Linked DNA regions of Neodiprion lecontei. The protein of the gene in region 2 purifies or fractionates together with the protein of the main gene of each other region. This does not show direct contact. Links are inferred from orthologs where the notes say so. Each region holds a gene or a part of one and is shown on either strand. Other genes may lie near its edges.

Region 1 (6,054 bases), about 34 Mb from region 2:
TATATTTACAATTCATAGAGTAAGTAATGTATTACTTTCATTAATCGCGTGTTTTTTTTCGTCTTTTTCAGAATTTCGTGGAAGACGTTAGTAATTTTGACGAAGAATTCACTTCAGAAAAACCGCAGTTAACACCACCCAAGGATCCTCGGCCGCTCAATGATCAAGAACAAAACTTCTTCAGAGATTTCACATACATGGCCGATTGGTGCTAGCTACAATCGCTACAGAGGCAGACTATGTAGTCTTCTAGTGTTCATTCGCATAAGAGTTATAAGTTTCATTCACAAAATTTATTTTGCAGTGATATAATTTGCTTCCAACACGTAGGTAATTCCAATGTAATATTCTCCACGCCAGCACGTTTTCTTTCCTATGTGTACGACATAGTTAATAATTCACACACAATCATGAATCAACAATTAATTGTATATTATTTTTTCAACTACAGTTGCACATTTGCGATTATTGATTATGTAAAAATTAAGTCCTCTAATTGTATTATTATGAGATATTGCCTTTGAATTATAAAAAGATAAAATTTCTACCAGCAAAAGTGTATAATTCAATTTTATGAAAGTATGTGTATAAACTCTGTATTGGCCAAAAGAAAACTTGCTCGTTAGGACGGAAGTTATAATAATTATGCTATTTGCTCACAGCCTGTTTGATAACTGATCAATGCACAATTTGAATTTTGCTGTCAAGATCACAGCACTAAAGTAAAAATTGACCCTCAATTGTCGCTCATTATTTATTTATTTATTTTTTTTTTCTTTGTTTATTTTCCTTGCATTGGTTTCAAATGGAGATTGAACTTTCGAACGGTAGGTGTCGAAAATTGTGGGAAAAAAGTCGACGTAGTCCATGCTTGTTTCATGTGTTTAATTCAGAAAATGCCAACATAGTTACAAAGTGCATTGATGTAATACATTCACTTTTGACAATATTTACAGGCTTGAGAAATGTTTTATGTAGTATGATAAAATATAAGAATTGAGAATATAATTAGTTGTTACAAACACAAGTCTTTCTCATTTCAAAGGCAATTTTTTTATTAAGCTATTAAATCTGGACCAGGTTATGTGGTATCAGTTTTACTTTTCACAATTGACAATCAAAGCAATGATCAAGGTTACGGATTATTTTGATGAAGTTATAAAATTTTTCTCATAAAAAAACAAATCATGCAAGAACCATGTTAAATAACTAGGACTTATTTTGGTAAATTCATACCAATCAATCTGATATTCTATAACAATATTGAATGTGATTTCGGAGTTGCTTTTCTATCTTGAGCAAAAAGCTCAGTTCTCTTAAATTACTGTCCGTGAGATATTGGTAAATAAAAACAATAAAAATTGATCGATAAAAATAATGCAAATATTTGTGATAGTTTCGAGAAAATCTCGATGAATAGTTGCCTTATTGCATTAAAAAATTAATACAATGGTAAATAAGAAATAAAAATTATTTGGTAACTATTTTATAAAGCATTTTTATAATATATTATAATCAACACTGATCAATATCAGGAGGTGCTCACGTTATACTTTATCATAAAAACATCTGATGGACCCATTATGGAGTTTTAATCCAGTTTTGTACCTTCGGTGATTAGGCAACTGTGGTATGATTAATTAGCGGCCTAATTTAAATACCTTTTTAGAAATCATCTCACAGGATACATTCTATACTTTATAAGAAAATGAAGGTAAACGATCAGATATAGATTACGATCGTATTCGTCAAAAGTAAAATAATTTTAATATAAATAAAATTAAAAAAAAAAAAGAAAAATCATTTTAACTGCATATCCAACATAATGAATCATAATCGTAGTATAAGTTGTTGCCAAGAACATAGTTTATTCTAATACATATGTGATTTTTGTATTAATGTCAACCTCGATTCATTGATATGAAGAAAATTGTAATTTTTGAATGCGTGTTGAAATAATTTCAACAATTATTGATAATTACAGTAACACGTCTTGATAAGCTAAATACTAATATATTGTTCTGCAGGCATTGTTCACCTACTTTGCTTCTATATCATCGACGCAACTTTGAACTGCCAAAACTGAACACTTATCCGGGAAACAAATAATCTTTCCGTTTATTTCTAAGCTAGAGCAATTCTTACCAAACTACTCACGTTACGGTATCTTCTCGATTGATTTATTATTATTAATCATCATATTTTTTTGATCGTTGTTTACTATTTTAGGAAGCATTAAATAATTATCGATCATGACTGAACTGTCTATTTAACAAGTAATAAGATTTATCACTTTGAATGTTGAGTTCCATTACTTCCACTTTTAACTGTATAGTTACGCGATCAAATAATTTGCACGTGACTCTAAAAGAAGCACATATTAACATGTATTCGGGAAATAACAAATTCGTATGGTGTATATAACATAAATTACAACATGAAATACCCAATAAATCTTCAATTGTAGATAGTCATATAACTTCTTGTTTTGAAAGTTTTTACTAGTACAGTAAAAACGTTTCCTTACTCAATTTTTACATACATTTACCTAATAACATTGTTAGGTTTTAATCTTAAGATGTGTTCGGTGATGCATTCATTACACTATCCCTAATATTCAACATACCTGTTATGACAAAGAAAACTGTACTATGTGCCTCATACTTTATAGTTTATATACTAAACAACTAATAACCATGATGCCTACGTGATGATTTTAAAGTATTAATTTATTTGATACGTATAATTGCAGTGGCAGCTTGATACAATATTATATTAATTAATTGCGTAGTTTTTAGTGATAACTCTAAAATTTATAAACTTATAATATGCCCAAGAAAAATTATGCATACAATAAATACAAGGAAAAAAAACTCTTTGACTGCAATTATTTTAAATAATTTTATACGGAGCAATTCTTCTGCTTGACTTATATTTCAAGTATGAACTGTGCGTTTCAATCCCCTGCAGACAATTCAGGATTGCTTTGACTCTCTTTACTTTCTACCGAAGTAGCTAATTCATAGAGATTTGAAGCATTTTTTCTTATTTCACTTTCCAATTCAATTTTCTTTTCTTGCCTCTTTTTGTACTCTTTGCTTTGTTCTGGCGATGCCGGTTTTACAAGTCCAGCTGAAACACAGTAATAAATACTGGTACTGTCTCCCTCTACGAAAACCAGTGTCAATCTACAAACAATATAAATTATTGTCAGTCCATTCTCTGCAACAAGTAAATGATTGAAGACATGGTACCAGTAAGTTCTAAAGTTACCGTTCACTCTTCAATTCCTTTTGCATTTGCTCGATATGATTCAAAGATATGGCATTTACTGCTGGCCATGGAATGTATTTTTGCAATGGAGATGATTTGGTTGCACAAGCTTCCAGATAGATCAAGTCAAGTGATTTGTTATACTTGTACTGTACGTCCCAAAACCGTTTCACTAAAACCAGTAATAGGAATGAAAATAAAACGTGCTACTTGAAATTTTAGATTTTGCAAGATTCATAAATGAAAGGAATGTTTCGTGTTACACCTACAGTAGCGTTCTTAATTCTGTCCTGAAGACAAATTAGCAGTAAACATATGAGCATGCTTAAGCGATAAAATACCAAAATAACAAAGAGAAATGGACCAATCGTTTTAGATTCGTATTATACGAATATTGTGGTATAAAAAACTGCCAAACAACCATCATTTTGTTACATGAAGTCATGTGTCGTAATAAAAAAATAAGATAAAACTTTCATAACTAGATGAAACTCTCTTAGAATAGTAGATTCTCTGCCACCAGACGTTTTCGTCTGATGTGTTGGATCACAATTATTTAATCAAGTCGGTGAGTATATCCATACCTTCGCACAGTTCTATGTATGTTTGAAATGCAATCGTGATTTGCAGAGCATTCGTGCAGCCAAGTTTTTCTATATCGCAAAACTGAAAGAATGAGCGTATTAGTTAATTTCCGTAGTCTCTGACGTAGAAAGTGGTTTTGAAGTGAGCGAATGTTTATTCTGACCACATTCTAACACCTGACATGCGAATTTCCAGATGTCAACCGATAAATAAGTACTCACTGCTGGATGACACGTGCTATACATTATGCTCACTGGGCCTTATACGTTTGTCATGCGTTTAAAATGGCGTGGTAAATATAAAGTCTGAACTGCAACAGCGGAGGTGACAGAAAATCCTCACGTGAAAACGTCAAAATTCATTGTCGACCACAAGTGAGACAGAGTCCGCCATCTTCAGATCGGTACATGCCTTGACTGAACAATATAAAGACAGTTTCCCTAATGGACTTTGGTATGACTAACGAAAATCGTTGTGCGCTTGCGCCTCCAGAGATGTTTCGACGGTAGAGTTGAGAACTTGTTGCAGAACATCTGAGAGTGGCCGATTTCGACATGATGCTGGCTGCATTCTCCTACCGAGTAACACCAGAAACTCATCTCTGGTGTAAACGTCAAAACTCATTGTGAACAACAAGTGAAACAGGGTCCGCCATCATCAGGTCGGTGTATGCAGGATCCGAATGATTCGTGTATCGCAGGTTGCAGAAATACGATGCGTCAGGCGGTTGTTTTTTCACCACTTCTGATAAAAATTGTTTATTGGAATAGAATGATGAAACGGTAATGAAAATTAACCTGGTATTTATTTCGCGTACTTATGTCATCAGTGAAAGATGACTACATAAGGTATTTTGACGTGACTAACATACGTGTCCGGTCTTTTCATTTCCGAATTGCGGTGAATTATAAATGCATCACAACACCTGATGTGATTGATTTCAACACATCTAAGGTGACACTAACAATCCTCGACTGAATATTCATACTTAATTGTTCATGGGAAATGCCAGTACCACAGTTCACCCAGCATCGCATATCACATACTTGTAATCTCGATGAGTTACAAATGAAATCTCACCAGTTTGTTTCGTAGGCTAAATAGAGTAGACCGTTGAGTTTCGATAAATTCAAGGAATAAAAAGGAAGGTGGTGCTATCTTACAATTGGTGCTAATACGTTGCGAGCAACGGATCAAGAGTTACGGCCCATGACGACACACGTATTTTTCGACATTTTTCAACAGGTGCTTTTTCCTTCGTAACTTCTCTCCTGTTGATCCCACGCTGTTTTCGCGGCGTTTTCTGAGTTCCTAGGGGTCCAAATGGTCAGGAAAGGGTCATTTAAATCGAATCTGGGACCAAAAATTTTTCGGCTAAAAAAAAAGCAAGGCTAACCCCTTTGCATTTTTGGCGAAAATTTTCGCGATTTTGAAAAGTGCTGGAATAAATTCTTTCATGCACCATTCCGACGTAGTTTTGCGAGAGAAATCGATTGGGCGCAGTCCCAATACGCTGCGATCAACGCATCAAAAGTTACAGCCGAAAAACGAGAACCTGTGTTTTCGACATTTTTCAGCAGGTGCTTTTTCCTTCGTAACTTCTCTCCTGTTGATCCCACGCTGTTTTCGCTGCGTTTTCTGAGTTCCTGGGGGTCCAAATGGTCAGGAAAGGGTCATTTAAATCGAATCTGGGACCAAAAATTTTTCGGCTAAAAAAAAAGCATTTTTGGCGAAAATTTTCGCGATTTTGAAAAGTGCTGGAATAAATTCTTTCATGCACAATTCCGACGTAGTTTTGCGAGAGAAATCGATTGGGCGCAGTCCCAATACGCTGCGATCAACGCATCAAAAGTTACAGCCGAAAAACGAGAACCTGTGTTTTCGACATTTTTCAGCAGGTGCTTTTTCCTTCGTAACTTCTCTCCTGTTGATCCCACGCTGTTTTCGCTGCGTTTTCTGAGTTCCTAGGGGTCCAAATGGTCAGGAAAGGGTCATTTAAATCGAATCAGGGACCAAAAATTTTTCGGCTAAAAAAAAGGCAAGGCTAACCCCTTTGCATTTTTGGCGAAAATTTTCGCGATTTTGAAAAGTGCTGGAATAAATTCTTTCATGCACCATTCCGACGTAGTTTTGCGAGAGAAATCGATTGGGCGCAGTCCCAATACGCTGCGATCAACGCATCAAAAGTTACAGCCG
Region 2 (5,537 bases):
CTTTAATGTAAAACGTTGTCACAATATTAACGAAATTTTCAAAAGACATTTATTCATCTCATAGCACAAAGTTGGTAGCGTCACTTAATTCCGTTAAAAACCAAATTCTTTTCAAGTACCTTTGAACGAATTAAATGATAAAATGTTTCAACCATAGGTTCGGTTTGCGGTGCTGTAAGTGGGGTCTGCGCAATGGTCAGATCTGGTCAGCAATTGGCAGACCGCCATCAACACCAACAGTCTATCTCTGTGATGGATGAAACAGCACGTTCCGCTTGGTTTGGTGTTGTAGGTGGTGTGGCAGGAGGTTTAGCAAGTGGGTCTACAATGATTTTGAACAAGGCAGTCCGGGCAGGTCTGACAATAGGAACTGCGGGCCGAACTACATATAATGTAATCACTATCGGTAATATAGTTATAAATGGTATGGGAATTGGTAATGGAATCTACAATATATATATGAATTACCACAACAAAAAAGAAATTTCTGTACTTGATGTAACCCAAGTAATAGCGCACGTATTGTTCTTTGGTAACGCTGTGATAAATTTTCATACGGCTAAAACTATAATCAATAATACTCAGCAACAAGTGCTTCAAGATTATGAACAGTCACTGAGAAGTAACAGACACAAAAAAGCTTTCAGACAGATCAGATGTAACACTCAGGCATGTAGCGGCGATCAAATTACCGGAGACTCTGAGATCATTCGTGGAATCCGATCGATTCAAAATAAAGATGATTTTTTTGCTGGAGTTGTTAGAAACAATAAAGTATTTAGGTCGTCGAATGCTGAAGTTACGTTCAAAGATGGTCATGCTATGATCAATCACAATGTAAAATTTGATCCCATTGAATTATCTCAGCAAACACAGCAAGTAAGAGTCAATACTGTGAGAGCTGTAGACCCTTTTCATGTATCACGGAGTACCATACCATCTCCAAATAGAATGCCAGTGGCGAACTATGTAAGGCAACTTGGCTTGATTAGAGAAAGTTTTAAACCTTTCACGTACTATGCATCATTTCCGATATCTTTTGAAAGCATGAATTATATTGGAAAGCTTGTAATTGACATGCAGAACTTTAGTGACATTGAATGTACGAATTTAATTACGAATCTCGCAAACATTGCGCAACATATTCTTAGAAAAAGCAAAGAATTTGCAAAGGAGTCAATGGATAAATTAATGTACGATATTTGGATTGGGTATGTGAGACCAAAAGTCGAGAATCTGTTTGCAGATTTAGGCATAGATGCTAGTCACATGGATCGCTGTGATAATTTAGCAGAGTTTTTCTTCGATACTGCACGTGAGATAATTGAGGACATATATAACGAAATAGATAATTTTTTGGAGGAAATAAAAGTGAGCTTTTTAAGAAGTTCTCAGTTGCAATCAGAGGCTGCTGTCTGCAGAATTTGCTCAGGGCATTTGCTGAGCGATTAGTACTCAGTTGCATGAGTTTTTACTCCAAGAGTAAGGAAGGTGCCTTAAAAATACTAAATGGAGCTAATTAATACAAATCAAATACTGCTCACAATTAATAGTATCACTAACTATTTATAATTTAGCTCTAATAATATTGCTCCATTAGCCAGATTGTACCATCCTAATGATTTTAGGACTGTGGTAAACAATAAAATCATTTGCACAATATAAGTTTCAAATATCTTCAAATGCATTTGTTCTGTTACCTATAAAAATATATATATTTTTGTATGGTAAAAATATTCAGTAGCGTTTATACAAGTGTAAAATTCCCTCAATGGCTTAATGGCTATCCATAAATTGTATATCAGACAGAAGGAGGACGGTGTTTGGTAGCGGCCTTGGTTGTGGACTCAAAACCATAAAAGTTTGCCTCTCGACATCAACGTTAGTTCTGAAACATTTGATTATTTACTAAACATCATTAGATTCATGCCACTTTCTTAGATCGAAGGGTAAATATGAATACGAACACGCATACGAAGCCTGCCACATTGGTTTGCACAACGTCATCTTCAGGGGAATCAGCAAATGAGACTGAGAGTAAGTGATGCAGCAAACTTGGACCTGGGCTAACGGCTACCAGTTTTGTCAAATTATCTTCTGCTTTCATTCCTAGAGGCATACATGACGCTGGCAACATCGGAGCTCCCACCTTGTAGAGCCTTGCTTCACTCCATTTGACTTCAAAGCTATGAGGGTAGAGCGGAGTTCGAAAACCGTAGAAGTACTCGCGAACTCTTTTGTCCCGCGATTCAGTCCTTAAGGATTTACTCCTCTCAACAACACCGCCGCTTTTGGGGAGAAAAACGACCTTCACAAAGTCTGGCATATCTCTGACTAGCTCATTATAGAGACGCTCCTGATCGAGCACTAAAATCGCGTCCACTTCAAAAGCCTGTGCAGCATGAGTCAGTAGTTTATAACCAGCACCCTTGATCCAGCCGCAAGTGTTTATAACGATTCCTGAGGCCTTAGCTTTCTTGTTGGCTTGAAGTCTGTCAGAACATACTTCAGCCAATCGTGAAACTAAAAGATTGTACAGCGCAGTATTTGCGCTGGGACTGGAGTGACCAAAGTGAAAGACAAGCGGGGCTTGTTGACTAAATCCTTCGACAATGTTTGCCGGTCTTTCTACTAATAAAGCTCCGACTGTTCCAGGTATTGCTATGTCACCTTGACCGACGTCGAGATCAACGAAAACAGGTCTTCGCCCCATTCGAACTGCATAATTTAGCAACAGTCTGCAGAAGGTGGATTTTCCTACATCTCCGGGCCCTACTACCATTGTTATAGGTCCAACTGTATCTTCTTTTTCTGCTGTTTCACGCATTCGCTCCATCGCTGCATGGCAGTTGAGATAAACACCCATTGGCGTCTCTTTGGCCACGTAGATCACATCTGTCTTTCCTACCAGTTCTAAGACGCATCCTTGCCATGTGAACACTGCGAGTTTTGCACCCGCAGAGAATTCGTATTTTTTCCCTTTAACTAGTTCTGTACCAAACACTTCGGCAAGACCGCTTTTCAGCTGAAATCGTTACACGAATTTTATAGTTCGATGTTCATTAGTCAGAGGACAGATTATAAAAAGGTTTAAATGTACATAGCCGTCTTTTTTTTTTTTTTAATCTCAACGACTGTCGCGTTGAACGATTTGTGAGTGGTTCAGTTTTAACTCTCAAACGGGACTTTGGGGGTCGGATCCGACCCACAGTTCTATTTCTCTCGGTCTTATTCTTCCCTCTCGTTGCATACGGTCGAACCGTACCGAATATTCCGTTTCAAACCACCGTACCGTTTGAGGGTTAAGAACAAAAGCTGAAGTCGAGAAGAACAACCAAGAATCAGTGTTAAGTAAACGTAAATAAACCTATGATATAGTTTTCTAACCTCTAAAGTAACTTTTTCATTCTTTTGTTCAAGTTCGAACCGCAGCTCGCAGTCAGGTTCGAGCTTGTATTCCTGCGTCAGACCTTTCTCTTCCGTCATTGTTGTTTCAAGTACTGTTCTCAATCAAAACAGGTTCAAAACAGAAGACTAATCGTCACGTTAAGTTCACACCGTTTTTGTATCGCACTTCACACAATTGACGACGAAAATGTCTCATCGATTCCTTTCGTTCATGGAGATGCTCTCGCTGTCGAAATGAAATCCCAATGTTCTAGGATCTTTTGCGAGCGTAAAATCATATTATCTATCTGTACCAAAAATTTTAAATGATTTTTACGACAGTAAATACAGCAGATGGACAGTTTGACACACAAAAAATTAATTCAAACAATTGTTCCAAATAATATTTGTTGGAACCGTGCACGGAACGAGGCGTACGATAAGTTGCAATAAAATAAAGTTATGTTTATCAACATTTGCGAAATAATAAAAATATATTTACGTTTTCCACAATTTATCCATGCGTAAATTGTCTATATTACGAAGAGAAATGAGGGATTTGGTAAATAATTCATTAAAGTAAATGTTATTCATTTATGAAAAGTAAATCTAAGAATTATATTTTTTCGCCTCTGCAGAACTTATTGTAACAGTGCTGCCCTTAACTCTGTATGCTCTAATTGTAAGCCTTAACTACGCGAGGGTTTCAGTGTTGACCCCTATTCCGTGATAATAATCTTCTCCGAAAAGGATATCATTATTTCTTCCAAAATTCCGTCGAAGAACTGAAACGAATTATTTCAATGACTTTCAAATTTATGGCAGTTATTTTTCGAAATTTATCTAATTTCAATCGAAGAGTTGAATTATTTCTTTCTCGTTTTGCCAACATGTATTAAACAATTATGTGTGTCGATTTGTAGCGTTCAAAAGTGCGTGCAATATCTTCAATATCCAGCTAGTGCTGCTGTCGCTGGTATTCGGGAGAACTAAGTTTGTCTGAAGCGTCATTTCTGCTTAACTTTATCCACGTGCTACCTAAATACCTATATTTCGGACGATAGTTTGTGGTTTATCTGTGAAGAAACGTCACTGTCAAACCGCGTTTGTGTCATGGAGTCGAAACACGACGAGTTACTTTTACAAATTTTGAAGGATGAACTGAACATAACCAATTTTTTGAATACGTTCTTCGGATTTATGTACAGATGGTAATGTACCTGAATTGAACATTTGAGTACTTGGATTAAGAACAGAATTCATAATAATTGATAATGATTCAAGACTGTCAGTTTCATTCTTTTTAGCACCGACTTTTACGTTGAATCGACACAAGACCAGAAGTTGGGTTTTCCAGCAGGGGTTGCTGAAGACTTAGTCTTAAAAATCTATCGGAAGTGGAAAAGTAGATTTGAAGCTGACAATCTGTCCAGATCTGAGGCCCAGGCTCAAACCTCAGAATTGCTGGAGCCTACCGAAGTAGTTGAAGTAGAAGTCGAAACCAGCAGTAACCAAATAGACGATGAGCCGATAAAGACTTACAAAACGCCGGTACAGCCATCTGACAGCTATAACGGAGCTGTTAGAGAAAATTACACTTGGTCGCAGACGATAAGCGACGTTGATGCACTTGTCAACATTCCTTCAAATATCGAATCGGCGAAAGACTTGAGGGTTGATATAACTGCCCAAAAAATAAGAATAGCTGTGAAAACGGAACGCCTTAGAGAAAATAATTCTCTGGACAAATATTCTGACGGTGCTACAGACTCTGAATGGATCGTTACCTTCGACGAAGAACTCAGCTTTAAAACGCAAAGAGAGGAATCTATGTGGTGCATTATACCTGGGTACTACGTCCATGTAAGCTTTCAATTTTATTTGATATGATTTGGAGCTTTTATTCAAATTTAGTAGCGAATCTTCTGATAATAGAAAATAGTAGCGTCTTCCTTTCGGCAAAAGAAATCCAAGATGTTCGTTTTTCAATTACGATTTGACAGCATTCCATTGATCTCTAACAAAATTCTACAGGTTCATTTGGAAAAAGCAACCGAAAGATGGTGGGAGGCTCTGACTAAGGGTGAGCCGCACATAGATTTGACTAAAATTGATTGCTCCCGACCAATTGAGGACTTGGGAGCAAATGA

The links.
Region 1: the proteins of protein CLP1 homolog (region 2) and uncharacterized protein LOC107227980 purify together in Homo sapiens (affinity purification with mass spectrometry; 4 studies listed by BioGRID and IntAct, counting the BioPlex papers as one, with this or other methods). This does not show direct contact. The link is inferred for Neodiprion lecontei from reciprocal best matches to the Homo sapiens genes CLP1 and TSEN15.

Annotation. Positions count from the first base shown.
Region 1 is NC_060261.1:8,991,458-8,997,511, reverse strand, and holds uncharacterized protein LOC107227980, read right to left. Parts: upstream 4,299-6,054; 5' UTR 4,104-4,298; coding exon 4,080-4,103; intron 3,940-4,079; coding exon 3,858-3,939; intron 3,446-3,857; coding exon 3,274-3,445; intron 3,189-3,273; coding exon 2,957-3,188; 3' UTR 790-2,956; downstream 1-789. Other genes in the region: serine/threonine-protein kinase N, read left to right, coding at 72-215. UniProt on the Homo sapiens protein: Non-catalytic subunit of the tRNA-splicing endonuclease complex, a complex responsible for identification and cleavage of the splice sites in pre-tRNA. It cleaves pre-tRNA at the 5' and 3' splice sites to release the intron.
Region 2 is NC_060261.1:42,991,622-42,997,158, reverse strand, and holds protein CLP1 homolog, read right to left. Parts: upstream 3,681-5,537; 5' UTR 3,487-3,680; coding exon 3,388-3,486; intron 3,358-3,387; exon of another isoform or gene 3,135-3,357; intron 3,026-3,134; coding exon 1,968-3,025; intron 1,889-1,967; coding exon 1,777-1,888; 3' UTR 1,453-1,776; downstream 1-1,452. Other genes in the region: uncharacterized protein LOC107216500, read left to right, coding at 158-1,452; nudC domain-containing protein 3, read left to right, coding at 4,501-4,598, 4,680-5,250, 5,422-5,537. UniProt on the Homo sapiens protein: Polynucleotide kinase that can phosphorylate the 5'-hydroxyl groups of double-stranded RNA (dsRNA), single-stranded RNA (ssRNA), double-stranded DNA (dsDNA) and double-stranded DNA:RNA hybrids. dsRNA is phosphorylated more efficiently than dsDNA, and the RNA component of a DNA:RNA hybrid is phosphorylated more efficiently than the DNA component.